Canis lupus familiaris: one gene and its partners. The protein of the gene in region 1 purifies or fractionates together with the protein of each later gene. This does not show direct contact. Links are inferred from orthologs where the notes say so. Each region holds a gene or a part of one and is shown in the gene's direction. Other genes may lie near its edges.

What was found.
Region 2: the proteins of DNAJC7 (region 1) and BAG2 purify together in Homo sapiens (affinity purification with mass spectrometry; 7 studies listed by BioGRID and IntAct, with this or other methods). This does not show direct contact. The link is inferred for Canis lupus familiaris from reciprocal best matches to the Homo sapiens genes DNAJC7 and BAG2.
Region 3: the proteins of DNAJC7 (region 1) and VPS13B purify together in Homo sapiens (co-immunoprecipitation; 3 studies listed by BioGRID and IntAct, counting the BioPlex papers as one, with this or other methods). This does not show direct contact. The link is inferred for Canis lupus familiaris from reciprocal best matches to the Homo sapiens genes DNAJC7 and VPS13B.
Region 4: the proteins of DNAJC7 (region 1) and MLF2 purify together in Homo sapiens (affinity purification with mass spectrometry; 3 studies listed by BioGRID and IntAct, with this or other methods). This does not show direct contact. The link is inferred for Canis lupus familiaris from reciprocal best matches to the Homo sapiens genes DNAJC7 and MLF2.
Region 5: the proteins of DNAJC7 (region 1) and BAG5 purify together in Homo sapiens (affinity purification with mass spectrometry; 4 studies listed by BioGRID and IntAct, with this or other methods). This does not show direct contact. The link is inferred for Canis lupus familiaris from reciprocal best matches to the Homo sapiens genes DNAJC7 and BAG5.
Region 6: the proteins of DNAJC7 (region 1) and KIAA0100 purify together in Homo sapiens (co-immunoprecipitation; 3 studies listed by BioGRID and IntAct, counting the BioPlex papers as one, with this or other methods). This does not show direct contact. The link is inferred for Canis lupus familiaris from reciprocal best matches to the Homo sapiens genes DNAJC7 and BLTP2.
Region 7: the proteins of DNAJC7 (region 1) and DNAJB1 purify together in Homo sapiens (affinity purification with mass spectrometry; 3 studies listed by BioGRID and IntAct, with this or other methods). This does not show direct contact. The link is inferred for Canis lupus familiaris from reciprocal best matches to the Homo sapiens genes DNAJC7 and DNAJB1.

What each region holds. Positions count from the first base shown.
Region 1 is NC_049230.1:20,758,410-20,761,820, forward strand, and holds the end of DNAJC7 (dnaJ homolog subfamily C member 7), read left to right. Parts: coding exon 1-28; intron 29-1,926; coding exon 1,927-1,989; intron 1,990-2,398; coding exon 2,399-2,436; 3' UTR 2,437-2,715; downstream 2,716-3,411. UniProt on the Homo sapiens protein: Acts as a co-chaperone regulating the molecular chaperones HSP70 and HSP90 in folding of steroid receptors, such as the glucocorticoid receptor and the progesterone receptor.
Region 2 is NC_049233.1:24,621,683-24,625,937, forward strand, and holds the start of BAG2 (BAG family molecular chaperone regulator 2), read left to right. Parts: upstream 1-1,319; 5' UTR 1,320-1,434; coding exon 1,435-1,547; intron 1,548-4,255. UniProt on the Homo sapiens protein: Co-chaperone for HSP70 and HSC70 chaperone proteins. Acts as a nucleotide-exchange factor (NEF) promoting the release of ADP from the HSP70 and HSC70 proteins thereby triggering client/substrate protein release.
Region 3 is NC_049234.1:1,896,138-1,899,913, forward strand, and holds part of VPS13B (vacuolar protein sorting-associated protein 13B), read left to right. Parts: intron 1-773; coding exon 774-962; intron 963-3,582; coding exon 3,583-3,729; intron 3,730-3,776. UniProt on the Homo sapiens protein: Mediates the transfer of lipids between membranes at organelle contact sites. Binds phosphatidylinositol 3-phosphate. Functions as a tethering factor in the slow endocytic recycling pathway, to assist traffic between early and recycling endosomes.
Region 4 is NC_049248.1:7,808,498-7,812,783, reverse strand, and holds the start of MLF2 (myeloid leukemia factor 2), read left to right. Parts: upstream 1-1,371; 5' UTR 1,372-1,576; intron 1,577-2,142; 5' UTR 2,143-2,170; coding exon 2,171-2,220; intron 2,221-2,472; coding exon 2,473-2,599; intron 2,600-2,809; exon of another isoform or gene 2,810-2,863; coding exon 2,864-2,899; exon of another isoform or gene 2,900-3,535; coding exon 3,536-3,589; exon of another isoform or gene 3,590-3,979; coding exon 3,980-4,108; exon of another isoform or gene 4,109-4,275; coding exon 4,276-4,286.
Region 5 is NC_049229.1:71,721,631-71,725,768, reverse strand, and holds the end of BAG5 (BAG family molecular chaperone regulator 5), read left to right. Parts: coding exon 1-559; 3' UTR 560-3,471; downstream 3,472-4,138. UniProt on the Homo sapiens protein: Co-chaperone for HSP/HSP70 proteins. It functions as a nucleotide-exchange factor promoting the release of ADP from HSP70, thereby activating HSP70-mediated protein refolding.
Region 6 is NC_049230.1:42,788,826-42,792,326, reverse strand, and holds the end of KIAA0100 (protein KIAA0100 homolog), read left to right. Parts: exon of another isoform or gene 1-395; coding exon 396-506; exon of another isoform or gene 507-641; coding exon 642-777; exon of another isoform or gene 778-881; coding exon 882-1,012; exon of another isoform or gene 1,013-1,185; coding exon 1,186-1,287; exon of another isoform or gene 1,288-1,592; coding exon 1,593-1,727; exon of another isoform or gene 1,728-2,136; coding exon 2,137-2,319; 3' UTR 2,320-2,926; downstream 2,927-3,501. Other genes in the region: RSKR (ribosomal protein S6 kinase-related protein), read left to right, coding at 3,335-3,391. UniProt on the Homo sapiens protein: Tube-forming lipid transport protein which binds to phosphatidylinositols and affects phosphatidylinositol-4,5-bisphosphate (PtdIns-4,5-P2) distribution.
Region 7 is NC_049241.1:48,526,045-48,530,398, forward strand, and holds the start of DNAJB1 (dnaJ homolog subfamily B member 1), read left to right. Parts: upstream 1-1,510; 5' UTR 1,511-1,602; coding exon 1,603-1,813; intron 1,814-3,009; coding exon 3,010-3,590; intron 3,591-3,898; coding exon 3,899-4,129; 3' UTR 4,130-4,354. UniProt on the Homo sapiens protein: Interacts with HSP70 and can stimulate its ATPase activity. Stimulates the association between HSC70 and HIP. Negatively regulates heat shock-induced HSF1 transcriptional activity during the attenuation and recovery phase period of the heat shock response.

The sequences.
Region 1 (3,411 bases):
CTAGATGAGGAAGGCATGAATATGGGCGGTGAGTTGGTTGGGGCAGTCTAGGATGAGCCTGACAGCTGTGGATTGTTACAGTTTTTCTAAAGACACTCCAGAGGGAAGTCTGTATAACAACCAGTGAGGCAGAGTGATGTGTAAAACCCACCCTGGATGAATACCTGTGATGTGTGAGGTACTGTGATGGGTGCTGGAGATAAAGGTAAGTCAACCAGGTCTCTGAGCTCTGAGAACCCAGTCTTGGGCTTTGCACCCAGACTCACAGGCCACTTCTGACCCCCGGATATGGAGTCCCAACCCAGGGTGCAGAGTGGATACTCAGGAGGTGAGCCCTAGGAAGGGAAGGGTTGGAAGTGCAGAAAGAATACCTTCAGGGAGCTGCAAGGGGCTGAGTATGAGAGGATAGAGGGTGCCTAAGGCAGGAGAAGGTGAGATATGAGGCAGAGTAGCCGGATAACTCCCTCTCCCCCACCAGAAGGCCTTAGCAGCTTGAATAGGGAATAGGAGCCTTTTCCTATGGACTGGAAGTTTCTGCCCACTGCAGGGCATATGCTGACTGAGATTTACGTTCGTCACCCATTCGTGGCAGGCTTCACAGAGTTCAGTTTCCCCCAAAGACTTAAAATGAAATAAAGCATAGCTAGCTGTCAGTGTTGCTGCTCGCCATGAGCTCCGTTGGAGATGAGGATAGGAACTATGCAGTGGTTCTCAGACCAGTCTCCAATGCCAGCCTTTCTCCTCCATTAAGAAAATCTATTGGAATTTAAAATAGGATTGATGATCCTAGATAGTCCTCCTCTCTCTGGTTCAGGGTGTGTGTGCACTTTAAAAACCTAGGTTTACCAGTAGTAAACATTGCTCTGCCCAGCAGTTGAGAGGAGAAATAAGCAGTCAAAAACTATTGAAGAGTTCTAAGTAGGGGAGCTCCGAACCAGAGTTTGGCTCCAGAAGTATATTTATGATGGCAGTGAAGAGGTGGTTTGGTGCAGTGAAGGGGGAGATGGAGGAAAGCACAAATGGGTAGGACAGGATTGGAGGCCACAATGGGAGGAGACGTGGCAGGAGATGGTTGCTGACATATTGGAAGAAGGGAAGGATGAAGCTGAGTGGCTTTGGGTGGCTGACTTGATGGAGCTGGTCACTGAACTAGGAGACCCAAGATGAGCAGATACACAGGCAAGGAAGAATTTAATTTTGGATACAATGTGCCTGTTGCACCAACTGGTGGAGATAAATCCTCTGTGGCTTAGGAAGTCAGGTGGAGGTGGGGACAGCAGACCTGCTGTGGCCTTATCACTAGGCCACAGCACTGGAGACCGGCCAGAGCTGGAATGTTTGCTTCTGCTGCATTCACTGGCCACATGATCTTGAGCAAGTTACTTAAGTTCCTTTGTCTGGTTTTATTGAGTATAATTGGGGATGATGTAAGGTATGCAGAGTACCCACCATGATTGGCACCTGGTAGGTGCTTAATAAACCATGGCTTTTTTTTTTTTTTTTCCTGTCATACTGTCTAGACATTGCATGGAATCAAATGAATACTGTAAACCTTAGATCTTATTCCTATATTTAGTGTTAGTATTCCTATATTTAGTTTAGTATCTAGATTTTCACCCTTTCAGTAGCAGCCCCAGCATTATAGACAGACAGAATGGGGTGTCTCATGTCAATAAGTGCAAATGCCATCGCAGTTGTGATGAAGGTCCAGCAGAGGAGGTTGAAGCAAAGAAAGCTTTCATTCCGGCCCGAGCTGGGAAGGAGGGAATGTGTCCTACAAGTGGGGTCGAGCAGCGTTAGGTATGGAACGTGGGGGCAGATATGCCCACCCACAGTCAGGTTTTGGAAAAGGATGCACATCATAAGTTCCTCTTCAGACATGTCTAACTTTTTCCAACTTTCCCTGTCTTTTGCTCTGCTCCATAGATTTTGACGCAAACAATATCTTCAAGGCATTCTTTGGCGGTCCTGGGGGCTTCAGTTTTGAAGGTGGGTATGCCTCCCACTCTCGGGAGTTCCCCAGATCACAGGCCCATAATGTGACTCCCCCCTCAGGTATAGTAGCTCTTTGAAAGTCAGCGAGGCCCATCTAGCAGGGTACCGATCCACTCAGGTGCTGTTGAGCGTGGAGGCAGGGAGGCTCCTGGGCACACCATACCTTGGGACTGTTAGTGCCACACCTCTGCATGGCCGGGAAGGCATCTCAAAGCTGTCGAGTGCCAGGGCTTCTCTGCAAGAGTGAATGTTAGAAGCTACACACGAGCTGTGCTCATATGTTCCCGACACCCCAGAGCCTAGGCTGGCAGTTTTTCTGTTGGAGTTCGAAGCAGCCCTTGAAAACGAGCAAAGTGATCTTTCCACGCAGAGCCAACTAACAAGCCCTTCTTTTGCCTTACAGCATCTGGTCCAGGGAATTTCTTTTTTCAATTTGGCTAATGAAAGGAAACCATCCGGAACCCAGAAAGTGCAGACTTGCTCAATGTAACCTTGAACGTGGGCACAGCTCACCTCCTCCCTTCATCTCGTCTCCCCGTCCTTAGAGCAGTTGCGTTTTCTTAGTTGGATACCCCTGTGTCTGTGTGAGTGGGGGGAAGGAAGGGAGCCAGCGCGGAAGACTGCGGGGAGGGGAGAGGGGTGGGGGGTGGACAGGGAGGCAGCTTGTGAATTTTTGTTTTACTGTTTAACTTTATTAAAAAAGAAAAAAAATTAAGAGAATAAAATGTTTTGACCCTTTCTGGCACTTTGCTCTGGCAGCTGCTTTGTGTCACTCCAGAGTTGGTAGGCCAGAGCTGAGCCCCCAGCACGGAGTTGGTACGGACATGGATTGTAGGCTCTGCATCTGGCCCATGAGGGGTGTGGGCACCTGGGGCATGATGGCTGGGGGATGCTGGCCACCTCTCCCAAGCCTATTCAGCCTGAGTGCTGAGCAGACCTGAGAATGCTCAGTCATAGGTTATCTGATGGTAGGGGCCAGCACCGCCCACCAGAAGCTACGTGTGTCCAAAGCACACCTGGAGCGTGGCTGGGTATGCTCAGGCTGAGCTGACCCAGACTGAGGACGTTTACACAGGCCCTCGTGGTCCTGTTGGCAGTGCAGGCTAAGGGACATGGGGACGGAGACAAAATCCTGCCTCCCTGACCCTTTCAAGGTGGGACAACACAGCTCCTGGGCGCAGGGGTCCAGGCACAGACCTGAAGCTCACATGGTTGCATTCTTAGGAGATACCCTTCACCTTATCCACTGCTGTCCCTTCTGTGTGGGAGATGAGGAAGCAGTGACTAGTGTCCTGCTGTTCAAGTCAAGTGTAGTGGTCGTGGCAAGTGATCTTTTTGGCAGAGAGATTTGAGACTTAGACTGACGCTCAGAATTTTAGCACTTCAGTAGCAGAGATGGCTGGGAAAGGACTATGG
Region 2 (4,255 bases), on another chromosome or scaffold:
TATTTGGAAGTATTACTGTAGTTACTGTATTGAGAACACACACAGCAGAGGCAAGAGTAGAAGCGGGAAGACCAGACAGGAAGGTGTTGTAGAAATGCAGGTGAAAATTGATGGTGGTTGGGACCAGAGTGGTAGCAGTGGAACTGGGGAGAAGAATCCTAGTATATTCTAAAAGTAGAGCTGAGGGGATTTACTTAGGGATTGGATCTGTAGGATAAGAGAGAAAAAGAATCCAAGATAATTCTAAAAGTACATGATAGACTTTCAAACCATTCCCAGCATATCTTTGGATTCCAAGTCTGTGTCCTGATAATGACAAAATATATTTAATGAAGTCAAATAATACCTTACACAAATAGTTTATTAGTATGTAGATTGAATTCAGAGGGAACTGGGATCCAGGCTGAAGGCCCTGTCTCCGTTCAAGTAGTTAAATGGCTTTGATCTCAGATAAAAAGGTTGTGATTCAGCTTTAAAGTGTTATTATCATTTTATGCGCGCAGTTCATTCTCATCCTTGCAATATAAGGCGTACAGCTATAACGACATGAGAGCAAAGCGCAAGTTTTTAAGTACATAAACCTGTGCTCCCAGTCCTGCTCTTACTGACCTTTATAGTATATGCCCCAGTAACGTGCCACGTTTTTTTAAATTACAGGAGATTTAAATAAGTTGGGTGTCAAAGAAAGATGGGATAGCTTTTTCTTTTTTCCCCTGTAAGCCTCAGTAGTGGTGTCCAGGCTTTCATTATTTCCACCTCAGAAAAGGGACTGGTAACAAGCTGAGGCAAGCCCAGACTGCCTGGGAGCTGTACTTAAGTGCTATCCTTTTCTTCCCATATCAAAGGATTTTTAATGGTTTGGGTTCTGACACGAATGATGGGCGCTGGGAGAAAGTGAGCGAAGCCGGCCCCGGTCATTACCCACAGCCTACCGTCAGGTACCTCCGTGGGGGGGGAGGTGGTTACGTTCAGGCCGCACGGAGTCCCGGTTCCCGGGGGCGGGGAGGGGGCTGTTCCGTGGGTCTCCGCTGGGCTTTCGGTCGTTCTAGGGTCGGGACAGAGGGGGAGAGAGAGAGAGAGAGAGATCCGGCGGTCACGTGAGGCCCCCTGCCCGCGCCCGCCCCTCCAGGTGCCTCGGAGGCCGCGGGGCGCGTCTCCTCTGGCCTCGGCCCGGGCGGCCCACCCTCGAGGCCCCGAGGCCAGCGCCCTCCCGCGGGCACCGCAGCCCCCAGCCCGGCGGGCGGCGCGCTTGTCCTTGTTTGGCCACGCGGCAGCGGCGGTGTCGGCGCGTCCTCCCGGGCCGCCCCCCAGCGGGCGTCAGAGGGGGGCGGGCGCCCCGCGCGGTGACGGCGACGCCTGCGGCCGCCGGACTCTCCACTCAACGTCGCCCGAGAGGCCGGTGACCTCTTGGCCGCCCCCGCCTCGGAGGCTCAGATGGCTCAGGCCAAGATCAACGCGAAAGCCAACGAGGGGCGCTTCTGCCGCTCCTCCTCCATGGCGGACCGCTCCAGCCGCCTGCTGGAGAGCCTGGACCAGCTGGAGCTCAGGTGAGCGGCGCGGGCGGGCGGGCGGGCGGGCGGCAGGGCGGGGGGCGCGTGCGCGGCGGGCGGGCCGCGGCCGGAGAAGTTGCTCGCCTGAGATTTGTTCCCCGCGGGGACCGTGCGCTGCCGCCCGGCTCGGGGGGCCGCCGCCTCCGCGCCAGAGAAAGCGCGTTCGACCCAAGCGAGAGCCTGTGAGCGCGGGAAGGGTGGCCGCATTCTCCTGAACAGACCTGGGCTGTGGGGAACTGAGAGGATCACAGAAGGTAAGAGTTACGGTGGCGTTCTCTGAGGTTAGAGACCGTGACACCCCGTGACACCCCGGGTCTACTGAAGGTCTAGAATTTTCTGAGTGCCGCTATGTGGTTCCCCCCAGATGTCTCTAACTTCTCTTTTTCTACTACGCATCTGTAGGAAAGGCGATAGTTCAGGGGTTCCCCCCACCCCATGTGACTGATAAGTTTCTTTGCTCCAAAACACAGAGAGAGAGAAAAAAACAGTAAAAATCTAGAAATCTGTCTGAGAGCAAGAAGAGGGAGGAGTAGGACAGATGAGGGGCCGCGGGGTGAACGGCGGCTGGGCACTTGGTGGAGGAAGACCCTGCGGCTTCCATTTCCCCCCTAACCCCGCAAACTGAATTCAGAAATTCTGTTAGTTTCTCGCTATTTATTGTGTACCTCCTTCCTTAGAAGACACCTTCTCGAAAGTGCTAGTCATTGGCCTGAAAGCATAAGATAGGTTTTTTTTTTTTTTTTTACTCTTCCCCCTCCCCCCCTTAACTTAGGCTTGTATACAATTTCTAAATAACGAACAGCAAATTTTGGAAATTATTGTTTCCCTTAACAGCGTCTGAAAAAACTTTCACGTACTTCCTCTAAGAGTTTGTCACCAAAGTTACTGTGTAAATGGTGTGCAGGTGTAGATAAGTCAAAATCTTACTAAGACTCCACAAACCCCTGAGGCCATACCGATTCTTCCCCCCTCCTCCCCCCCCCCCCCCCGTAGTTTTCATCGGGTTCTGGGTGAGCAAGGAAGCACGTCAGCCAAAAATTTTAAGAAGCAGCGCGTGCATGTCTATCTCCCTCAATTTATATACCAAAGCAAGAAGAGGGGTTTATTTGCCAGGACAGTGCATTAATAACCACAATATATCTCAGCAGTTGAGGCATTTATGATTATTATTATTACCCTGAGAGAAGAGTCGGAAAATGAGAAATTCTCCATCCACAACGATTTTGTGGATGACAACAGATAGAGAAACCGCAGTCCAAAACCACCTTCTAGGGTTCTGCCCAGAATGACACATATGGAACCAGAGAAAAAGTAATGCTTCCCCTGGGTTGAGCTTGATGCATTTACTCCCCAGAGAAAGTGGAACAAAACTAGAGATCGGTGGCTTCAGCTACTTAATGTCGCCCCAAAGAATAATATTTCTTTTGGTGTAGCAGCACATTACAAGTAACTTACACATCTCCCCAGGTGTTTAGAACTTTGATGTGTTCCGAAGCATTTCAGGGCTCTCTTGGCACTATCAGAAAAGATTTTTTTCTGAAAGGAATGAGGAACGTTGCCCCTCCCTTCTTCAAGCTGAGTCATTCCCCTCAAACTTGAATGAACATCTCGTGTCTGATAGACACAAAAGCAGTCAGGTACTCATCTTTAAAAGAAGGCCTCTGGTTTTGAGTATTCGTATATTCTAATGTTTGATTAATGTAAAGTGAACTGATTATTATACCAGTGATTAGATTATGACTTGCTTAATTAACCCTTGAGCTGAGGAGGAAAGACTAAAATGTGCTAATTGCTCATTTTAAGGACTTCTTTAGTAGTTTTAAGACTTTTGTAAGCTTTGTTTCTTCCTTTAAAAAAAAAAAAAAAAAATGTAGGGCAGCCCAGGTGGCTCAGCGGTTTAGCGCCACCTTCAGCCCAGGGCCTGATCCTGGAGCCTCCGGATCAAGTCCCATGTCTGGTTCCCTGCTTGGAGCCTGCTTCTCCCTCTGCCTGTGTCTCTGCCTCTCCCTTTCTCTGTGTGTTTCTCATGAATACATAAATAAAATCTTTAAAAAATAAAATAAAAAAGTGAAATTGAGTTTTTAAAAAATAATTAAAATTTGTAAAAAGTAATTGTGATCTAAGGAAGTGTTTTAAAAGGTAGTAAAAATAGTAAAAATAAAGAAAAATACTAATGATCCGTTAAAGTTCCTTTGAAACTACATGGGCAGTGTCACAGAACCCCACATTGTTAAAAACTAGCATCATGCCTAGAAGCTTTGTAAAAGAAACAAATAGGTAATTTTGCTCTAATAGTTCAATTTCATATTAAGGATGACTCATAAAGCATTGTTTTAGGTAGAATAAAACACTGTAGTTTGATACTTAAAGTTTGCATATAGTTCCCCAACTGATTTTATCACTTGTGGTAGACCTTCTTCCATATGAGACTAAAGACAGAATTATGCTAAATGCTTTATGCCTAATGGTGGGCATGATTTTTTAATCACGTATGGCAGCATTCTATATTGTTGAAGGAATTCCATTTGTTTCTAATACTTTACCATGACACTAGCCTCTTTCTTGACTCCACCTCTTTTCATTTTTTGCTTCCTCTTAAAAAAGTGATTCCTTTCTCTCTCTTTTTTTTTTTTTTTAAGATTAAATTTTTATTTGAGAGTGAGCGGATGGGGGGGAGGAGGTGGGAAGAGCACAGGAGGAGGGAG
Region 3 (3,776 bases), on another chromosome or scaffold:
TAAACTTGCAGTTCTTACAAAAATTCTCAGAGATCTACAAGATGGAAGAGAATTGAAGATTTCTGAGCAACTGTTTTTGTCAGAGCCCCTTTTCCCTTATAAGTGGACCTGGATATCCATAATCATGGATGTCCACCCAGTTGTTGATAATAACAATGTGGAGTCATTACTAACACAGGGTGGGGAGGGGGTGGAACCCTAATGTAAAACAGAATTTCACAGCCAGACTATATTCCATCACAAGAGAACTTTCTTGATAAGGCTAACCCATTTCAAGAAAGCACATATATCTTTAAGAAAACAGAATACAAGGAATTACTAAACAAAATGTTTTCCTGGTGGGGAACAATTGGAGAGTCTTCTTTTTTGAGCTGTAGTTCATGAACATCTTTATTCAATTGCATTTTTCCTGTGTGTTTTTTTTTCTTTTAAATAATCAGATGATATTACCTTATGGAATTGGAATGTTAACCTACATGTACCTAAGGTTGCATATTATTCTTTACTCAAATGAAATGAAACCCTCCATTTTTAAGTCTTTGTGTGAAGGGGTTTTCCCCCCTTCCATAAATATGAATCCCATTGTGAATCAAAGAAAACATTGAGAACTAAAAGAAAATGTATGTTGCCATTACAAAAACAAAAACAAAACTCATAACGGGATTTGGTTGCCTAAGTAGACCTATTATATAATATAAAAAATTCCTGTGAATTGAGGTAAAAAAAATCCAAGTTAAGATAAATACTTTATAATTGAGGCATTGTTTTTCCAGGAGGCTTTTCAAATTGGAATATACTGGGCAAATACAAACACTGTGCACAAGTCAGTAGCAATTAAACTGGTCCATAATCTGACATCTCCAAAGTGGAAAGATGGAGGTAATGGTGAAGTTGTGTCATTGGATGAAGAAGGGTTTGTTGATGCTGAAATAAGGCTTGGTGCTTTCCCAGGACATCAGAAGGTAGGATCAAAGTCTGTGTGGCTCCGGGGAAATAGCATGCCATCCCCTCAAGCTGTTTAAGATGAGTCTACCCTTTTCTTTCTAGTCCCTTTTTAGTATTACATGCTCTAGACAATGTATAACAGTGAGACATGCGATTTCTTAGACCTCTCAGTTTCACAGGGTTTGTTTTTTATTTTTTTCCTTTACCAGTGATAAAAGCCATGTCACATAATTTATCCAATAACTGCTCTATTTCAGAACACTCAGAAGTCACTTGATTGATCGTATGTGGGGGAAAAATGAACTTATTCCGAAATATCCACAAATTATACTTGGCCTCCTTTTCTTAGAGCAAGAAGTAGAGTTGCTAACATTCTGAGCACCGAGTGAAAGGACAAACCTCCCATAGCAAATGTTAAGTTTCTGGAAAGGGCATCCTGAGCAGAATCGATTCTGATCTTCCCATAGAACCTAATGTTATGAGGGACTTCTATTCCTAAACAGAGAACTGATACTCGTGATGATATGAATACAGAAAACCTATTTCATCAGTTATTTAACTAAATACAAACGGTGTGTCATTTTCAGCATCAATCTTTTCTAAAGTCTATGAAAACCAATTAAGTTGAATGATATAGTAACAAATCACATTATCCTCAATGGATGGCAGCACAACATCATAGCATACCATGTTGCGGTCTCATGCTGTACTGAATAATATCTTCGCAATTTTAGCACACACACCCCCAAATCAGAAGATAGGCTACCTCATCAGAGTAGCATGATTCAGAATGACCTTTCTCTGGGGAGAAGTTAGATTTTGACAGGTATTTTGAAGAGCCTATTGCAAAAAGTTAGTGTTATTGGTGACTTTTTAAAATAAAATTTCTCTGATACAAAGACGTTGGTTTCTCTTCAGTATTCAGGGCTGTTATCCATTTCCTCAGAGTTGTCTGGGCAACACATGTTTATGTGCTGCCAGCCAAAATACTGTAACATGGGTGTAAATGGCAAAGAGCTGTAAGCGTGAATCACCCAAAGCTGAATAGTTGTAAGTTGAGAACGACCATCAAAACCTGGAAAAAATGTCATGATATACAGTCCAATACCTCCAGCACCTCACAAAGTGGCCACAACAAGTGCTGAATGAATGTGAATGAATGGACTGTTGGAAATAGTATATTTACTATTTATTACATAATAATATATATTTATATCTCATTATTCTTTGCTAGTGATTCTTTTTAATCGCAAGACCCCCTTACTCTCTTAAAAATCCTTATAGGCCTCCAAAATCCTTTTGTGTATGTGGGTTATAACTACTGACATCCATCGAACAAGAAATTAATACAAAGACTTTAGAATGCAAGAACACACATACATTATGTTAGCCATGACAGTTGTGACATCATAGGTCATATAACCTCTGGAAAACTCCACTGTACATTCATGAGACAATTAGAATGGAAAAGACAATAGCATCTTCGTATTATTATAAAAATAGTTTTGACCCTTGGACCCCCTGAAAGGATCTCAAACCCCATGCATGTGCGCATACACACACACACACACACACACACACACACACACACACATACACACACGAGTCCCAGGCCATACTTGGAGAACTGCTGTCCTGACATTCCCACTTACTAAGTGGGTATCTTTAGACAACTAATTCTCCTCTGAGCACTTGACCCTCATAAAGCTTGGTAAGGGAACCTTGTGGAGGTTAAGAGCAGTACTGTAGAGTCAGACTGCATGGTTTCTAATCCCAGCTAGCCCATCTGTCCTTATGACCGTGGGCAAGTAACTTCACTGGTTTGAGCCTCATTTCCCTCTTCTATAAAATGGGGATAATAATAGCTGCTTCGTGTGGGTTATGTGAGGATTCTGTGACTTAACATGCATAAATACTTATGACAAGCAGAGCACAAGAAACCAATTTCTGAGGGCCAACCATTGTTTTTTATCATCATCACTGGTAAAGTTCTCAAAACACCTGGTGGTCCCTACTAGACCTTAGGCAAGGTTGCTGCCGTGATGAGCATGAGGAAGATGAGGAGGAATGCCTAACTGAATTTTTTATGTTGAAAAGATGAACGGCATCTGTTTACATAGAAGAGTTTATAATTAAATATTTTGTGAGAGAATGGGTTAAATAATTTGAAAACAAGTCTCTCTCACTATGCCATAGCACCAGAAATAACTGGTTTTCTAGAATACCCTGTTGTAAATAGTAGCCCCTTTTAGGGGCTGGGACATTTTTGAGGCTGAGAGGGGCCTCCAGTAAATACTCTGGAACACAAGTTAAAATTGGTACTATCCTGGACAAACCAACAGATGAAATGAGCTTTTAAAAATAAGGAATTGTTGGGATGCCTGGGTGGCTCAATGGTTAAGCATCTGCCTTCGGCTCAGGGCATGATCCCAGAGTCCTGAGATCGAGTCCCACATCAGGTTCCCCTCAGGGAGCCTGCTTCTCCCTCTGCCTGTGTCTCTGCCTCTCTCTGTGTGTCTCTCATGAATAAATAAATAAAACCTTTAAAAATAATAAAAATAAGAAAGTGTTATATGCCTTATAACATTTTTTTGGCCTTATGATATTTTAAAAATTCTTTCCTCAATTGTCTTGCAGTTATGTCAATTCTGCATTTCCTCCATGGTACAGCAGGGTATACAAATTATTCAGATTGAAGACAAGACTATAATAATCAATAATATGCCATATCAAATATTCTATAAACCACAGTTATCTGTCTCCAAACCCCACTCTGGAAAAGAGGTAAGCAGTTCATAACATGATTGATTTGTCTGATGTTTTGATAAATT
Region 4 (4,286 bases), on another chromosome or scaffold:
ATAAAGGATCTGGAGAAAAAATTTAAAAGACTTGACTAAGTCTCTTCCCCCAGAAATATCAACGAAAAGCAAATTTTCTTTTATCCTGTCTTTATCTTTCTTTGGTTTTGCCAGCCCGGCAGCTTCCAAATTATCACTGTTCCCCTCTGTCTCCACTATTGTTTTTCCCTCACTAATAATGATCGCGTCCCAAGAAACCTGAGAAGCCCTGCTCCCGGTACCTTTTCCTGAGTCACCTGGGACCCCCGTCCTCCTTCACCCCTAGGGAAGTATTGGGAACAAGTCTTTGGCATTGTTGGGCTCCACAGAGCGCTAATATGGCTAGCAGCCAGAGTAAAGAACCAGGGAGAGCTAGAGTTTGGATGAGTCTGGTTTAAAGTCCATCGTAGACCGTCCAAATTCTCCTGACACCCTGGGGGAGGGCCCTTCTCTCCAGTTGGGCCAGATTTTATGCAAGACATTTAGTATGTCAAAGTTTCAGTCTTTGGCCCTGGCCTTCTGGGTCTGATTCCAGCTCCGCCCCTGGGTGATCCTGGTTAACGGAGCTCTGCACCCCTTCCTTCTCCCAAACTTTAGACCCTCGACCCACCTACCTGACTAGAGGCAGGAAAGATCAGAGCGGGACTGGGAGCTCCTGGGAACACAGCAGTGAGAGAAAAGCAAGGGGAGAAACCGGCATTCCACGAAACGATTTCAGAACGACAACCTTTGCCCAGGCCGACCCTGCGCGCGGAGGAACCGAGGGTCCGGGAGCAGGGCCAACGGCAGCTCCCGAAGCCCCGCCGTTCCAGACCGGCCGAGGAGCGCCACCTGGCGGCCGGCCCGCCCACCCCGCATTCTCTCCCGCCCGCCGAGTTCTGGAAGCCGGAGCCAGACAGGGGCCGAGCGGTCACCTCCCCTGCGACGTCAGCCCGAGGGCCCCGCCCCTGCTTGGAACTCGCCTCCCCCCGACAGGACTGGCCGCGGCGCCTCCCCCGCGAGGCGGCTGCCCTGCCTCCCTCCCGGGCCGAACGCCGCCGGCGGAGAAAATCTGCTTAATATTCCCCCCAGGATCCGCCCCACGTCGTCGCCCGCGGGGAGCCGCCCCTCCCCCCGGCACCTGCCCCCGGGCTCTTCCTTCCCCGCAGGGAACGTGCCGCACCGCCCCGTCCCGCCCCGAGCCTCACGAGGCGGGGCGCCCCGCTCTTCCCCGCACCCCCACGGGGCGCCTCCTCCTGGCCACAGGGCCCGAGTCCAGCTGGGGATGAGGCCCCCTCCCCTAGACCCGAGGACCCCGCCGCCCGAGCGGCCCCGGCCCCAGCCCCAGCCCCTCGCTCGCCGGTGGGCGGAGCTCCGCGGGCCCGGCCCCGGGGCGGGCCGTCCCCCCGTGACGTCACTTCCGCCCGGGCCTGGCCGCGGTTCGGGCTCCGCGGGCCGTGGGGGGGTACGGAGGTGGCAGCCGTGGGAGGAGGCGGCGCGGGAGGCCGAGGAGAGCCAGCCCGGACCAATCCCGCGTCCCGGGCCGCAACCCCCGAGCCTGCAGCGCACAGAGAGGCGAGACCGGCCGGATGGGCCGCTGAGCCCGGATCGGGGACCGGTGAGGCTCGAGCGGCGCGGGCAGCCGGCGGCAGGAGCGGGCCCGCGGAGCTGCGGGTCTGGGAGCCTGGGAGGCGGGGAGGGGAGGGGGCCGGGCCTGCCGCTCCTGCTCGCCGGGCGGGGAGGCGGGGGCCGGGGGCCGGGGGCAGCGGTGGGGATAGTGAGGCCCGCCGGGGGGAGGCCCGGCTGCGGCTGGGGTGAGGAGGGGGCGAGGTGGCCGGGGTCATTGCTGGGGCGAGGGCCGGCCCCCGAGATTCGCATCCGAAGCAGTGGCGTCGGGGAAGGGGGCGTGCTTCTGGCCGGGGCTTCGGGGAGAGGCTGGCTGAGTGGGGGAGGCAGAAAACTGCGAGGCTGGGAAAAATTTTCCACAGCCCTCCTCGAGAGGTTTGAAGAGCCCTAATCTCCCTTGAGGGTGGTGTCCAACACCGCCTGGAGAAGGGGCTCACTGGAGTTTGTGGGGGTCGGTTACAGCATTTGCAAGGGACAGTGTTCTCAGAGTCCCTACACTGAGCCGGGTGTGCAAAAGCCTGGCTGGCTCCGAGTATCTGAGCCTCCACATCTTTACAGTGTGGAGCCCCCTGGAGCTAAAATCAGGATGTTCCGCTTCATGAGGGACGTGGAGCCGGAGGATCCCATGTTCCTGATGTGAGTATTCCCTCCCCCTCCTGTTCTAGAGCGCTCATCCTACTCCACTTCGGGTCTCTAAGTAGTTCAGACAGACATCTGGGTTCCCATTGCTGGCATTGGTTGGAACTAGCTGGATACTCTGCTTCAGCTCCAGCTTAGGGGAGGAAATAGGCATCTGTGCCACCTTCTCCCTTGGACTTTTCTTTTTTGTGGGGGAGGAAGGTGTTGACTGTCCCTTCTGCCATCTACACTGTATACTCACTTCCACAGGGACCCCTTTGCTATTCACCGTCAGCATATGAACCGAATGTTGTCAGGTGGCTTTGGATACAGCCCCTTCCTCAGCATCACAGATGGCAACATGCCCGGGGCCAGGCCTGCCAGCCGTAGGATGCAGGTAATGATGCCGAGACATACCCAACACCCAAGGAAATGCTGGAGGGTGGCTAATAAAGTCCTTGATTTCTCTTGCACTTCAGCCAACTTAGCAAGTGGAATGATCATTTTTAGGAGTTGGGGAAGGGGTCTGGCAAAAGGGCTTTGTGATCCCCTTTTGAGAGGAGGATGGAAGAAAAAAAAAAAAGCTGAGACCATGCACTTGGTTTGGGACTGTAGTGACATAGGACGTGGTCTTTAATTTGTTCTTTATGTTTTCCTGTAGGCTGGGGCTGTCTCCCCCTTTGGGATGCTGGGAATGGTGAGTCCTAATGTCCTCGTGTCCTTCCATTCTCAGACACACTCTATATCCTTAGATGTTATTTCCAAATGTGGCTCTCTGGAACAGCCTTATGGGTAACCCTAAAATCTTTTTATAGTGTTCATAAAGCTCTGGGTCTGTTGTGTGCTGAGTTCTGTGGGTTAAAGATGCTAACTTACTGATTCCTCCATTCTAAGAGCCACACCTATTAGGAAAATGTAATTGCCTAGCAAAGTTTGTCGTTCTGAGGATGGAGATGGAGTCGAAGGGCCAACCGAGATGGCTTTTAGAAGTTTGCTGTTGCTGTTTTTATGGTTTTATGCCCAACCCTTTTGTGGGTTAGAATCTATTTACTTGGGTGTGCTTCCTAAAGATAGGAGGAAATAGGACAGTTGGGAGAAAGCAGATTGGATCAGAGAAGCTGTAGAGACTGAGGAGGAAGGCAGCATGCGCAGGGAGGGAGATGTGAAGGGGAACACCCCCTGTTCTGGTCGCGCTGAGGAAGAGACAGAGCAGTGGCTCCATGTGAAGAAGAGAAAGGGAATGTGTAGCCACGTGTCTGTCTAGCGGGTACCTAAAGATAATCTGAGTTCTGACTGTGCTTTCCTGACTCTGTTTTCCATCTCTTTGCTGCAGTCGGGTGGCTTCATGGACATGTTTGGAATGATGAATGACATGATTGGGAACATGGTGAGGCTCTTACCCCATATGCTTTTGTACTCTTGTTCTCGGTGATAGCTGGCAACACCTTGAGTCCTTTGAGGCAGGAACAGGGAAGAGTGTGCTGGTGAAGGAAGGGCTGGAGCTAGATAAAGTCATGGAGCCCGGAGAGCACTGGGTTCCCTTATCTGCTCTCATGCCTGAGTATGAAGCAGCAGCAGCAGTCTCATGAAGTGTGCAATTAAGGCTCCGTCTTATTTATTGTTGGGCTCCAAGGAATTTGGGGGTTACTGATGAGTCCTGACATTTTCTTGGCTCCCCCGTGCTGTGAGAAAGGGACAAGAACAGGCAGCTGAAGTGTGGTGTGGGATTCCTTCTCCAGAGGGACCATTCAGTCCTGTGGTACCTTTTCCTCCTCAGGAACATATGACAGCAGGAGGCAATTGCCAGACCTTTTCATCCTCCACTGTCATCTCCTACTCCAATACGGGTGATGGCGCCCCCAAGGTCTACCAGGAGACATCAGAGATGCGTTCGGCACCAGGCGGGGTGAGTTGGGCAGCTTCTCACCTCCCAGAGAAGGCAGCACTGAAGGCTGCAGGCAGCAGCCCTGCCTTCCTTTCTCAGGACTGGGCTGGGGGTGGTTTGCTGTCCTGGTGTGGTGTGGCCAGGGCTTCGGAAGGGGTGGCTGAGGGCTGTGTTCTCCCCCATCCCAGATCCGGGAGAC
Region 5 (4,138 bases), on another chromosome or scaffold:
AGATACTACACATGCATTTGACCTGGGACAGAATCATTCCATTTTAAAAATAGAAAAGGTCCTCAAGAGAATGAGAGAAATAAAAAATGAACTTCTGCAAGCACAAAATCCTGCTGAATTGTACCTGAGCTCCAAAACAGAATTGCAGGGTTTGATTGGACAGTTGGATGAGGTCAGTCTTGAGAAGAACCCTTGCATCCGGGAAGCTCGGAGAAGAGCGGTGATTGAGGTACAAACCCTTATAACTTACATTGACTTGAAGGAGGCCCTGGAGAAGAGGAAGTCGTTTGCTAGTGAGGAGCACCCGTCACATAAAGCAGTCTGGAACATCCTTGGAAACTTGTCCGAGATCCAGGGGGAAGTTCTTTCATTTGATGGGAACCGAACTGATAAGAACTACATCCGGCTGGAAGAGCTGCTCACCAAGCAGCTGCTGGCCCTGGATGCCGTGGACCCGCAAGGGGAAGAGAAGTGCAAGGCTGCCAGGAAACAGGCAGTGAAGCTCGCCCAGAACATCCTCAGCTATCTCGACTTGAAATCCGACGAATGGGAGTACTAAATAGTACCGATCTCACGGTTGATATTTCTTGTTTTGCACTTTATATATACTTCTATGTATTTATAGAGAGCTTTCAGTTCATTGAGCCTAAATGTGATTTATACATGCAGATTTCAATCTCCGTTTTTATGATTTAAGCAAATTATATACAGTATCTCTGCTGCTTTTGATGTTGCAAAACAAATGTCATTACAGCACGTTAACTTTTCCATTTGGATCATTATCTGTATGTTGTGGTGTGGTTTTTTGGTCCTTTTTTTTTTTTTTTTCCAATCAGAAAGTGGAACGGGCATCTTTTGTCATTTTTAAATGGGTTGTGCCAGCATTGAAATGTGGATCTTTCAGGATCTAGACACACACACAACCTGACAGAGCACTAGAACAATTATGAGAAGAGGGGAAATTTTGGTTAGGTAGAAGTAAGGTCCAAACACAAAAGCAATACAATGATATGATTTATTATGCTAAATAAAGCAGAAGGGTTTTTGTTTGTTTGTTTTTTTCTTCATTTTTAAGGCCCGATTGGTCCAACCCAAGTTAATCGGGTGGGGGTTTTTTTGTTTTCGGATTTTCTGTTTTTTCATAAAGATTTTTTGTTTGGAAAATGGTGTCTGTATTTTCCCCCTACACTCTGCATTTAGAGGGGAAAATCTTATTTTCATGTGCAACGTAAGAAAATTATGAAAATTAATAGCAAAAAAACCTTTGAGACTGCATTGAAGAAAGATGAAAACACCAGCTAATTACCTTCCAAGTTTTTGTTTGTAAACTCAGTTTACAATTTTCTGTAGTCATCAGTAAGGATGGGAACATTTTAGTGAAGTTAGGAGACCTTTTAAGAAAAAAAAGAAAAAAAAAAAGAAGAAAAAAGAAACAGCCATACCTCTGGCAAGATAAAACTGGAGATTAGTTACCGCTATCAGGTTGTCCTGAGCGAATGCGTCTGAATGTAGGAGGCAACAGGCTGCCTCTCTTGTTCAAGGGTCTTTTAAACACAGCAAGTGCTGTTTGGTAGTGGCCAAGAGCAGAAACCGCCAGTAGCTCTGCGGGACCAGAGCGTCGTGGCTTACCCGGGGAGGTCGGCTGCTCCTAGCATCTGAAAACCTCGCACTCTGGGACTGAGCTCACTTCATTGGCACTCGGATGTTTCTCTAGCACCTGAAAGAGTCAGGAAGGTCTGTCCCTGCAGGAAGTGTTTTTTCACTTGCTAAAGGGTACATCTATTTCTGTAAATGCTTTCTGAGGGTCCAAGTTTTATGGCTGCCAGTTTATGGGAACAGAATTTCCCAAAGTTCCAAAGTGCCTTGATAACACATTGGTCCCAGTATGATAACGAACAGATGACACTTTCTGTTGTCACCTTTCACAAAATAATCCTATTAGAGTATGTCTTTCGGACTCCGCAGCAGTCTGTAATTTCCTTTCAAAGATCGTGATTTGGTAACTGTAGGCAGCTAGAAATAGCCCCATGTACCAGAGAGATGATAAAAGCGTGGCTCTAAAGAGATTTTCACTTTGTCTCAGCTTTGCCCAATAATTAAAAGCCCTTGATGTGTCTTTCCTACTAGCAATGTTCTAGTACGATTCAGTGGGTAGTGAAGTCCAAGGGCATTTGTGTCTCTGGGCCTCGACCCTTTCCCATGTGCACATCCAGCCCTTGGCAACTGGAGATTCTTAGTGCAGGTCACTGGCAGCTCATTTTGGGCTAAGTATCCTCATCTTTGGGTGCTCTTAAAATCCTGGAGTTTCTATATTCAAGTGCTGCCTCAGTTTACCCCACTGGGAAGGCAAGGCTTTCCTCCCAAGCTCGTCAGGCATGTCCTGCCCCAGGCTCTACTTCATTTTCAATGTCAGATTTAAAAGTTAAATGTCAGCATTTCCTTTAAAAGTATCCATTGTTTTTCCAAAAGGGACCTTCCCATATGGTTCATTTTCAAACAAGGCGTTCTGCAATCCTAGAGAAGGCTCGTGCAGCTGAGCTCGGCCCGGAGCCTGGCCCGTGAGCGGAGGGAGCTCACAAGCCATCGCAGACTTCTCCTGTGGGTTATTTTGGTCATGGAGATGATCAGATCATCCTCGAGTGATCTGAGGCATGACGTTTCCTGTCCAACCTGTTGTAGTTCCTTGCACCGGGTGACTCTCCCATAAGGAACCCTAGTGACACCGGGTTTAGCTTTTCTCGTCCCTCGTTGGGAGCTGTGTTAATAGGGGCTGCCTGCCGCTTGTAACTAAGTTGAGCTCATGACATTGTATTGTATTTTTATGATCTTACGTAAAGAGAACCTGTAATGGAAATAAAACCTACCCCCAAAAAAATGTCTGGCCTTGGGTCTGCATTAAACGGTGTAATCCATGTTCATGCAAAAACTGGCTGGGAATGTTTGCTTTCTTTACCTCACATGCAGACAGCTTTGCTTTCAGGTCAGTCTTTACCCAAATTAGACTAAAGTCCATCGCCCTATAGAGAAGCAGTTATGAAAATAAATGTAATGAATAAGTCTACTAAGTACAGTGGAATGCTTTATTTTGCTACGATGCCTTGGTGTAGTGTATCTGATACAGGTCAGCACTGCGAGACGCTTAACCAGTGTTTCTCATTTGTTTTTGCCAATTTTTATCTGTTTTTTGAGGGTCAAAGCTTATCTTGTACATATAGGTTGTTTTTAAGCAAAGCTTTTCAGCTTTTAACGCGTCTAGTATTTTTCTAAGAGTAACTAGAGAAGTGTTTGCCATTGATTTTGATGTACAATACAGATGTGTTACTCCAGCGTGTTGGCTCCTGTCCCCCCTCCATTCATTGTATGACTATTGTAATTGTATGTCTGAAGTAATTCAGTATTTTGAGATATTAGTATACCCTTAATTATTAATGCAATAAAAATCTCTTAGCTTATCTTTGCGGTGAGAAAGGATGTGAGTCTGAGGTGTGAGTTCTGTTCTGATTCACCTTCATTTACTGTCCGACCCGGGTAAGGAATAATGTCTTGGCAAAGTGGGCCAGGCTTGGGGAAGGCGGGCTCCCCAGGTCCAGTTGGTGGCAGTGGGGGAAGGAGGTGGCAGCCCTGAGCACAGACCAGGGTCCTGTGGCAGGTGAAGGGATCACTGTTCCATGTGAGCAACACCTGAAGTGTGGGCAGCAGGGAACAGCCCAGGGGAGGCCTGGCCTCTCGCTGCGCCCATGCAGCCGGGCGCACAGGGGTTGACCTCACTGTAGAGAAGCAGGGAAAGTGGCAAGAACTGCCCCCCGCCCCCCCCACCACCAAGGCTTCACTTAAGATTGCCATTGACACTTGCCTTCTCATTAGCAGAGAGTTGGTATTTCTGACCCGTTAGTCCTTGGGGGCCCCCTGAGCCCCCCGCCGCCTCCCTGTTCCGCCCCCACTCACCTGGGGCAGTTTCCTGCCTGTTGCACGCCTGTTACATGAAAGCAGCACCTTGCTTGCGCTGCTTCTAGCCTTGTTTGAGCACGTTTCTGCCGTCTTGTCTCTTCTTGCGGAGGTCTTAGTGGTGATCACCCGGAGGCGGGGGCGGCCCGCTCAGCCCCGCAGACGTGTCCTAGGCCCCGCAGTGAAAGGAAAC
Region 6 (3,501 bases), about 22 Mb from region 1:
TCCCATTCTCATGCTTCCTAACATAGGGCATTTTTAAGATATTTTTTATTTTAGAGAGAGAGAGAGTGAGCATGAGTGAGGGGAGGGGCAGAGTGAGAAGAAAAGAGAGAATCCTAAGCGGACTCTGTGCTCAGCATGGAGCCCAATGTGGTGCTTGATCTCAGCCCTGAGATCATGAGCTGAAATCAAGAGTTAGATGCTTAGCTGATTGAGCCACCCAGGCGCCCCCTAACACAGGGAGGGGCCCATTTGTAAGGGCCCTTCCACATAAATCCAATATGGGAAACAGTGTGGTGATCTGAGAGGTTGAACGTTTGTCCAGCTTAGCAAGACTATTGCTTTTCCTTTTAGTCTGCATGGATTTGTGGGTTGATTTATCACTCTTTATCCTACAGGTAGTCCTGCGGCCCCAGAGTTCCTGCCAGTCTGGGCGACAGCTCGCCCTCCGCCTCTTCAGCAAAGTCCGGCCCCCTGTTGGGGGTATTTCTGTTAAGGAACACTTTGAGGTTAATATATAGTCCTTTGGGGATCCAGAAACAAAGGGCACTCAAAAGCTGTGTGTTGTTATACTATGTTAGGGGTAGGTAAACTGAGGGATGATATCTGAGCTTAATTGCTTCTTCAGCCTTTTTCCTCTTTAGGTAAATGTGGTGCCTCTCACCATCCAGCTGACACACCAGTTCTTTCATAGAATAATGGGCTTTTTCTTTCCTGGCCGAAGTGTGGAAGATGATGAGGTTGGTGATGAAGAAGATAAGTCCAAACTGGTGACTACTGGTGAGAACTTTTATGGTGGAGCTCCAGAAGACTGGGGTAGTGGCCCCAGAGATAGCTAAAGCTTCAAAAAGAGGATAGCAGCTGGTATGCTTGCATTTTCATAGGAATACCAGTGGTGAAGCCTCGGCAGCTGATTGCTACAGATGATGCAGCACCACTGGGCCCTGGGAAGGGTGTGGCACAAGGCTTAAACCGGAGTTCTGGTGTCAGAAGATCATTTCGGAAAGTACCTGAGGTACCAGACATGCCCCTGATCATGGAGAGATGGGACAGTCCTGAGGTTCTCTGTTTGGGCCAGCTGGGGATGTTTTCAGTCTTTTCCAGGGATGAAAGGAGATGGAGACATCTCCTTTCCTGAGTTTCTTCTGATGGTTTCAGGGACTCACACTCCTTTCCTGCCTCTCCTAGCACCCTGTGGATGATATTGACAAGATGAAAGAGCGAGCTGCCATGAACAACTCCTTCATCTACATAAAGATTCCACAGGTTCCTCTGTGTGTCAGCTACAAGGTCTGTTCCTCCCTAGTACTTTCTAGAACAGGGTGGGAAGGGAGCCAGATAAGATCAGAGATTAAAGTTAGTCATGGACAATCTGGTTTGTGAAGTTGGTCTATGGGTGATAATCTGCTATTCCCTCTACTGCCTTCAGGAGTCAGAACCATTACAGGATGAGGTAAGGGGAATCAGTATCTGTAAATTGCTGCTGTAGGAAAGTACTAGACTTCCGACTCAAGTACTAGCTTGAACTAAAAATGGCAGCTAATGTATCTTTTCATTCTTCTTTTCTCTGTCCTCTTCCCCTCCTTCTCTTGCAGGGTGAGAAAAACAGTGTGGATTGGGGTGACCTTAACCTGGTGCTGCCCTGTCTGGAGTACCATAACAACACATGGACATGGCTAGACTTTGCCATGGCTGTCAAGAGGGACAGCCGCAAAGCCCTAGTTGCCCAGGTATCCCGGCAGAATTCATGGCTCTTTGGTTAGCAGGGGCTGGCAAACAGATCCTGGGCTCAGGAGCATTTCATTGTAGGACATATGTAGGACAAGCAGCCTTGGGAATGGACGGGTGAATGAAGTGAGCTGCCCTCTCCATGACTTTGGTCAGATGACTAAATTAAATGTTTACTGAGTGTTTCATATATGTTAACTACTGTTGATTTTTAGGAAACTGAGGGCTGATGCAACTTCAGGTTCAGAATGGGTTCTAATTAGACTGTAAGCTTCTTAACAGCAGAGATAATTTTATAATTTGAATTGCCCCATTGTGTCTTCATGTAAGCTTAATAAATCTTTATTGATTTGGTTCACATTGATTTATTTTGCTTATCCCACTAATGCTTCCCTTCTCCTAACTTATTAGGTAATCAAAGAGAAGCTAAGGCTGAAGCCTGCAACAGGGTCTGAGGTCCGAGGAAAGCTAGAAACTAAATCAGACCTCAACATGCAGCAGCAAGAAGAGGAGGAGAAAGCCCGGCTCCTCATCGGTTTAAGTGTGGGCAACAAGAACCCTGGCAAGAAGTCCATCTTTGGCAGGCGCAAGTGATCCAGCATCCAAGAGTGGCTGCAGTACAGGATCTGACTCTGGCTCAGGCCCCAGGGACTTGTGGGGTGGGAGGCGTCTCCCTTCACCTATCAGGATTTGGGGGGGTTGGGAGACCACGGGGTACTGTGGAGAGAGGCAGTGCTTTTTTAACAGCTGGCCTGTTCCCTGCAGAATACGGTGGATAATAATGCTGAGTTCTACCTCACACTGATCAGCAGGCCAAGGGCCAGAGGCATCAAGAGAGCAAGACCCAGGGAATGGGTCCAGGATCAGGATCTGGTTCCCTTGGGGGCAACTGAAAGGGTGGGAGGGACAGTTCTGATCAAGTGTGATAAATTTTTATAGACCTATATATAAATACATAAATATATATTTCTAAGTGTAACTGCTCTCCCTCTGTGCTGGAAACTTGAGGGGAGGAGCTGATCTGTTCCTCATTTCACTGCCTTGTATGAGAGGTATTAGGGTTCTGGGGGGAAATCAGCCCCTTTTCAATCTGTGCCAAGTTCACTTGGGAAGATGGCAATAGGTGCCAGGGCTGGCCATGGGTCCCCTTGGGGTATGTCCTGGAGAATGGAAAGAAAACAAAGAGAAAAATATATTTAAAGTTGATTTTTTTTTTTTTTTTTTTTTTTGGTGTGTTAAGTGCATATGGGTTCAACCTGTGTCCGTCCCTCCCCATCAACCCAAGACATATCCTTTAGCTGTTACTCTGAGGATGGCCTCTTCCCTCCTGTGAAACTATATCATGGATACTTCCCAGCTCTGGTTTGACGCTGGCCCCCTAATAGGTCTCTGCACATTTTAGTGCTGGCTATGAGCCTATTCATAACTGGGGTGGGGGTGGGGGATAGGATTTGAGGATAAGAGTGGGGTTAGGCTGCAGCAATTTGCATCTCTAGTCATGAACAACAAGGAAGAGGCGGGGCTCATGTGTAATGTAGCATAAGGGGAGGAATTGCTTATGTAACAGACAGCAGATTTAGCAGGAGGAGAGAGGAAGCAGAGGCTTTGAATGGGAACAGTGAGCTGTCGGCAGGGGCAACATGCCCCGGTGGCTGCTTCTCATAAGGTAGGCTGTGGGGCTCTGGCAGCCTATTTAGGGGAGGTGAAGGGGTATGGGCTTAAGGCCTAGGAACTGACTGGTGCGGAGAATGTTAATGATGCCCATAGTGGAGGTGG
Region 7 (4,354 bases), on another chromosome or scaffold:
CTAGCCCAGACCAGTCCTCCCAGGTTGGCAGTATGTGCACTAATCCAGACCAGACCTTTCTGATACAGTTACCCTTGGTGGGGTCAGTGAGTGGCCAAGGATGGCCAGCGTGACTCAACTGGAAGGCAGGGGAAAGCCATGATCTTCTTTCTCAGAAGTCTCAGCTTATACCAGGGCAGCAGTCACAAGAAGTGTTTTTGCTGTGGTGCTGCCAGGAAGGGGGTGGCTGAGCAGCCCATTATTCACCAAGATGGTTAGTCACCCCTTTAAAAGTACTTCCTCTGTGCCAGGTCAGTCCTGCACACCTTGACTTACAAGGCAGGTACAACTGCTACCCCCATTGTACAGATGAGGAAACTGAGGCCCCAGCTGGCTCAGTAACCAGCCCAAGGTCATGCAGCCAGGAAGTGCTAAAAGTGGGAATGAAATCTGCTGCTGGCTCCAGAGCCAGTGTCACACACCCTGACCTCCTAAGCAGTTCTCCTAGGAACCTTCCACCTCAGCCACCACAACTGCCTACCCCTTCTCAGGTGATACCCCATTCTGAGCCTCCCTTCCCCATCAGCCCTTTGACCACAAGCACCCCAGACTCTTGGAGCCAAAGGGGATCATATTGCCCACAAGTGAGGAAACAGAGGCCCTGAGAGGTATATGACACACCCGTGTCCCCCCAAATCATAAATGTAGTGGGGAGAAAAATAAAGCAGGTGCATTAAAAACAGGAATATTTATGAAGCGTCCACTGCGACTGGGTTCCAGATACTGGCAACTGCAGGCTGGGAGGGAGGTGGATTTAGCAAGAAAACCAAAGAACAAGATAATTTTGGATTTCAGTGGCAGGTGTTCTTAAGAGAATACTAAAGTGAAAGGCATGAGGAGCCTTTTTCCCTGGAGGGAAGATCTCACCAGGGCGGTGAGCTTTGGTCCTGGGGCCTCACCTTGCTTTGTAGGAACCCGTATGGTGAGGACAGGCACAGTCCTGGGGCTCCTAATTGTATTCTCCCCACAGCCAGGAAAAGAGGGTGGGTAGGTATTTTTATTCCCCTGTTACAGAAGTCGGGGTGGGGGTACCTAGGGCACCGCAAGGTTAGTCAGCTTGCTCAGAATCGCCCCGGGAGGGGGGTGCTCCGTGAGCAGTGGGCGAGCAGTTCTGTCACCTGGGGAAGGGCGGGGCAGCCTTGAGGGGCGGGGCCGCACGCAGCCCCGCCCCTTCCCGAGCCTCGTGTTGTAACCTGTTGACCCAGGCTCGTCGGCCTGGTCCGAGAGGGCAATGAAGGAAGGTCGCGATTGGCTCCCCGCGAAGTGGGCGGGGCCCCCGCAGCTCGGTGCGCGCGCCGCGGGGAGGCGTTGCCGAGGACGGAGCGGGAAGGGGCGTGGCCGCGCGCGGGCGGCCGTTGGCGGCGCGGCCCCGCCCCGGACGTCGCGCGTCGCGGACTGGGCGGCGGCGATTGGTCGGAGCGGTGCGGGGGGCGGGGCGGAAGGTTCTGGAGGGGGCTGGCGGGCTCTGGAAGCTTCCGCCGGACGGGTATATAGGGTCCGGGACGGGGCGGCGGCGAAGCCGGGGTACGGCGACAGCTGGGCGGCGGGCCGCAGGCGGGGGCTATGGGCAAGGACTATTACCAGACGCTGGGCCTAGCCCGCGGCGCGTCGGACGAGGAAATCAAGCGGGCTTACCGCCGCCAGGCGCTACGCTACCACCCGGACAAGAACAAGGAGCCCGGCGCCGAGGAGAAGTTCAAGGAGATCGCCGAGGCCTACGACGTGCTCAGCGACCCGCGCAAGCGCGAGATCTTTGACCGCTACGGGGAAGAAGGTGCGTGCGCGCGCGGCCAGGGGCGCGCCCCGCCGTTTGACAGGAGGGGAAACCGAGGCCCGGCGGCCGGGCTGTGGCAGCCCCGGGGGACGCCCCGGGCCCGGTGGGCGAGCGGCCCCCGCCCTCCGGCCACGCGGGCCTCCGCCCTCGGATTGGCGGCCGTCCGATGGGAGGAGGAGTCCTGGCCGCGCTGCTTGCCCAGAAGCTTCTAGCACGTCTGCGGTCGCCCCTCCCTAGGCTCCTCCACCCACGTCCCCGAGCAGTGCTGGGGGTGCAGTGCGGACGGAGGGGGCCACTGAGGCTGAGCCGGCCCGTAGCACCGCGCCCTAGCGGGCCGGGGCGCACCTGGGCGGAGGTGGCAGGCCGGGGCGTGCAGGGGGGCCGGGGGGGCCTCTGGCTGCGCGCCGGCACGACCTGCGAGTGGCGAGCCTGCGGGTGAGCGCGCCGATTAGCGCCGACCTCGCTCCGGGGCCCCTGTGAGGGCGGAGTGAGGTAATCCCCGTAAAGTGCTTACCTAACCTGGTGCCAGACACGTAGAAGGCAGCCAGCGCCCGAGCGCAGTCCAGGTGCAGGGAGCGGCGGGACCCGCCTCTGCCCGGCCTCCTCGGCGCAGGCCTCTCAGGCCAAGGGAAGGAAGCTGTCTTGTCCAGTTGCCCGTGGATGACTCAGACTGGTTTCTGGGCTGGGTCTTAAGAAATGAAGTGGCTTTTTATGTAAGGATGGTGGCAATTAGTGCCAGGGTGTGAGAATTTGAAAAGCTGCATTTATGGTTTGGCTTTCACTTGTGCTCCGCACACATCCTTAGCTCCCAAGTATTTCTAAGAGTAAACACTGAGCACAGATTCTGGAGGGGGTTTCTTTTTAATCTGATCTTTTAATGAATTTTTGGTAAGTTTTCATATCCTTGAGGGGAGGATAGGGCAGTCAAGAAGTGGCAGGAATTTGGTGGCCCCTGGAGAGGGCACTTGAGCCCTTTGCCACTGCCCTGGCACAGTGAAGTACCTGGAGGGGGGAGTCCCAACTCTGTTGCTGCAGTGGGGGGTTAAAACCTTAGGGTTTTTCCTTACTCTCTTCTGATAGGCTAATAAAATTCCTCCCCCTCCTCCCCATCATTTATGGTTCTCAAGCTTTTTTCTTTTAGTGAGAGAGAGAGGCTCACTGCCAACCATTTCATTTCTCCTGATTTTGCCTTTCAGGCCTAAAGGGTGGTGGCCCCAGTGGTGGCAGCAGCGGTGGTGCTAATGGTACCTCTTTCAGCTACACATTCCATGGAGACCCTCATGCCATGTTTGCTGAGTTCTTCGGTGGCCGAAATCCCTTTGACACCTTTTTTGGGCAGCGGAATGGGGAGGAAGGCATGGACATTGATGACCCATTCTCTAGCTTCCCCATGGGCATGGGTGGCTTCACCAACATGAACTTTGGCCGTTCCCGTCCCGCTCAAGAGCCCACCCGAAAGAAGCAAGATCCCCCCGTCACCCACGACCTTAGGGTCTCGCTTGAAGAGATCTATAGCGGCTGTACCAAGAAGATGAAAATCTCCCACAAGCGACTGAACCCCGATGGAAAGAGCATTCGCAACGAAGACAAGATCTTGACCATCGAAGTGAAGCGGGGGTGGAAAGAAGGGACCAAAATCACCTTCCCTAAGGAAGGCGACCAGACCTCCAACAACATTCCAGCTGATATTGTCTTTGTTTTAAAGGACAAGCCACACAATATCTTTAAGAGAGATGGCTCTGATGTCATTTACCCAGCCAGGATCAGCCTTCGGGAGGTAGGCTACTAATTAGTAGGGTACAGTATGGAGGGAGATGGTTGGTTTTTGAAGCTGTTGGGTATCTGCTTGACAGATCTTTCTGAGCACTTTGGAGCCAGGCTTGAAGGGTAAAATAAGAGCAAAAATAAGACTGACCAGGGTTCTGTTTTTCCAGAGATTAACATGCTAGCTAGTGACCTGGGTAGATCTGGGGCAGGGTCTTAGCTGCAGGGGCCTGATGGCACTTCCCCTCTATCAAACAGCTTCTGGGCAGGAATTGAGCATCCTAAGCTATTTTTCATCTAACGTTCTCTTTGCTCTTCAAGGCTCTGTGTGGCTGCACGGTGAATGTACCCACTCTGGACGGCAGGAGCATCCCCGTCGTGTTTAAAGATGTCATCAGGCCTGGCATGCGGCGAAAAGTTCCTGGAGAAGGCCTCCCCCTCCCCAAAACACCCGAGAAACGCGGGGACCTCATTATTGAGTTTGAAGTAATCTTCCCCGAAAGGATTCCCCAGACGTCAAGAACCGTACTTGAGCAGGTTCTTCCAATATAGAGCCACCTGTGTCTCCCAAGGACTAACCAGGGACCTTTCCAGAGCTCAAGGATTTCCGGACCGTTCCACCAGTTGTGGACCCGTGAGAGGGCGGGAGGGCCCAGGGAGGGCTTTCGTACTGCTGAATGTTTTCCAGAGAATATATTACAATCTTTCAAAGTCGTGCACTAGACTTAAGTGGTTTTTCGAGCGATAGGGCTGCAGGTGGTGGGGACAGCAGGAAAA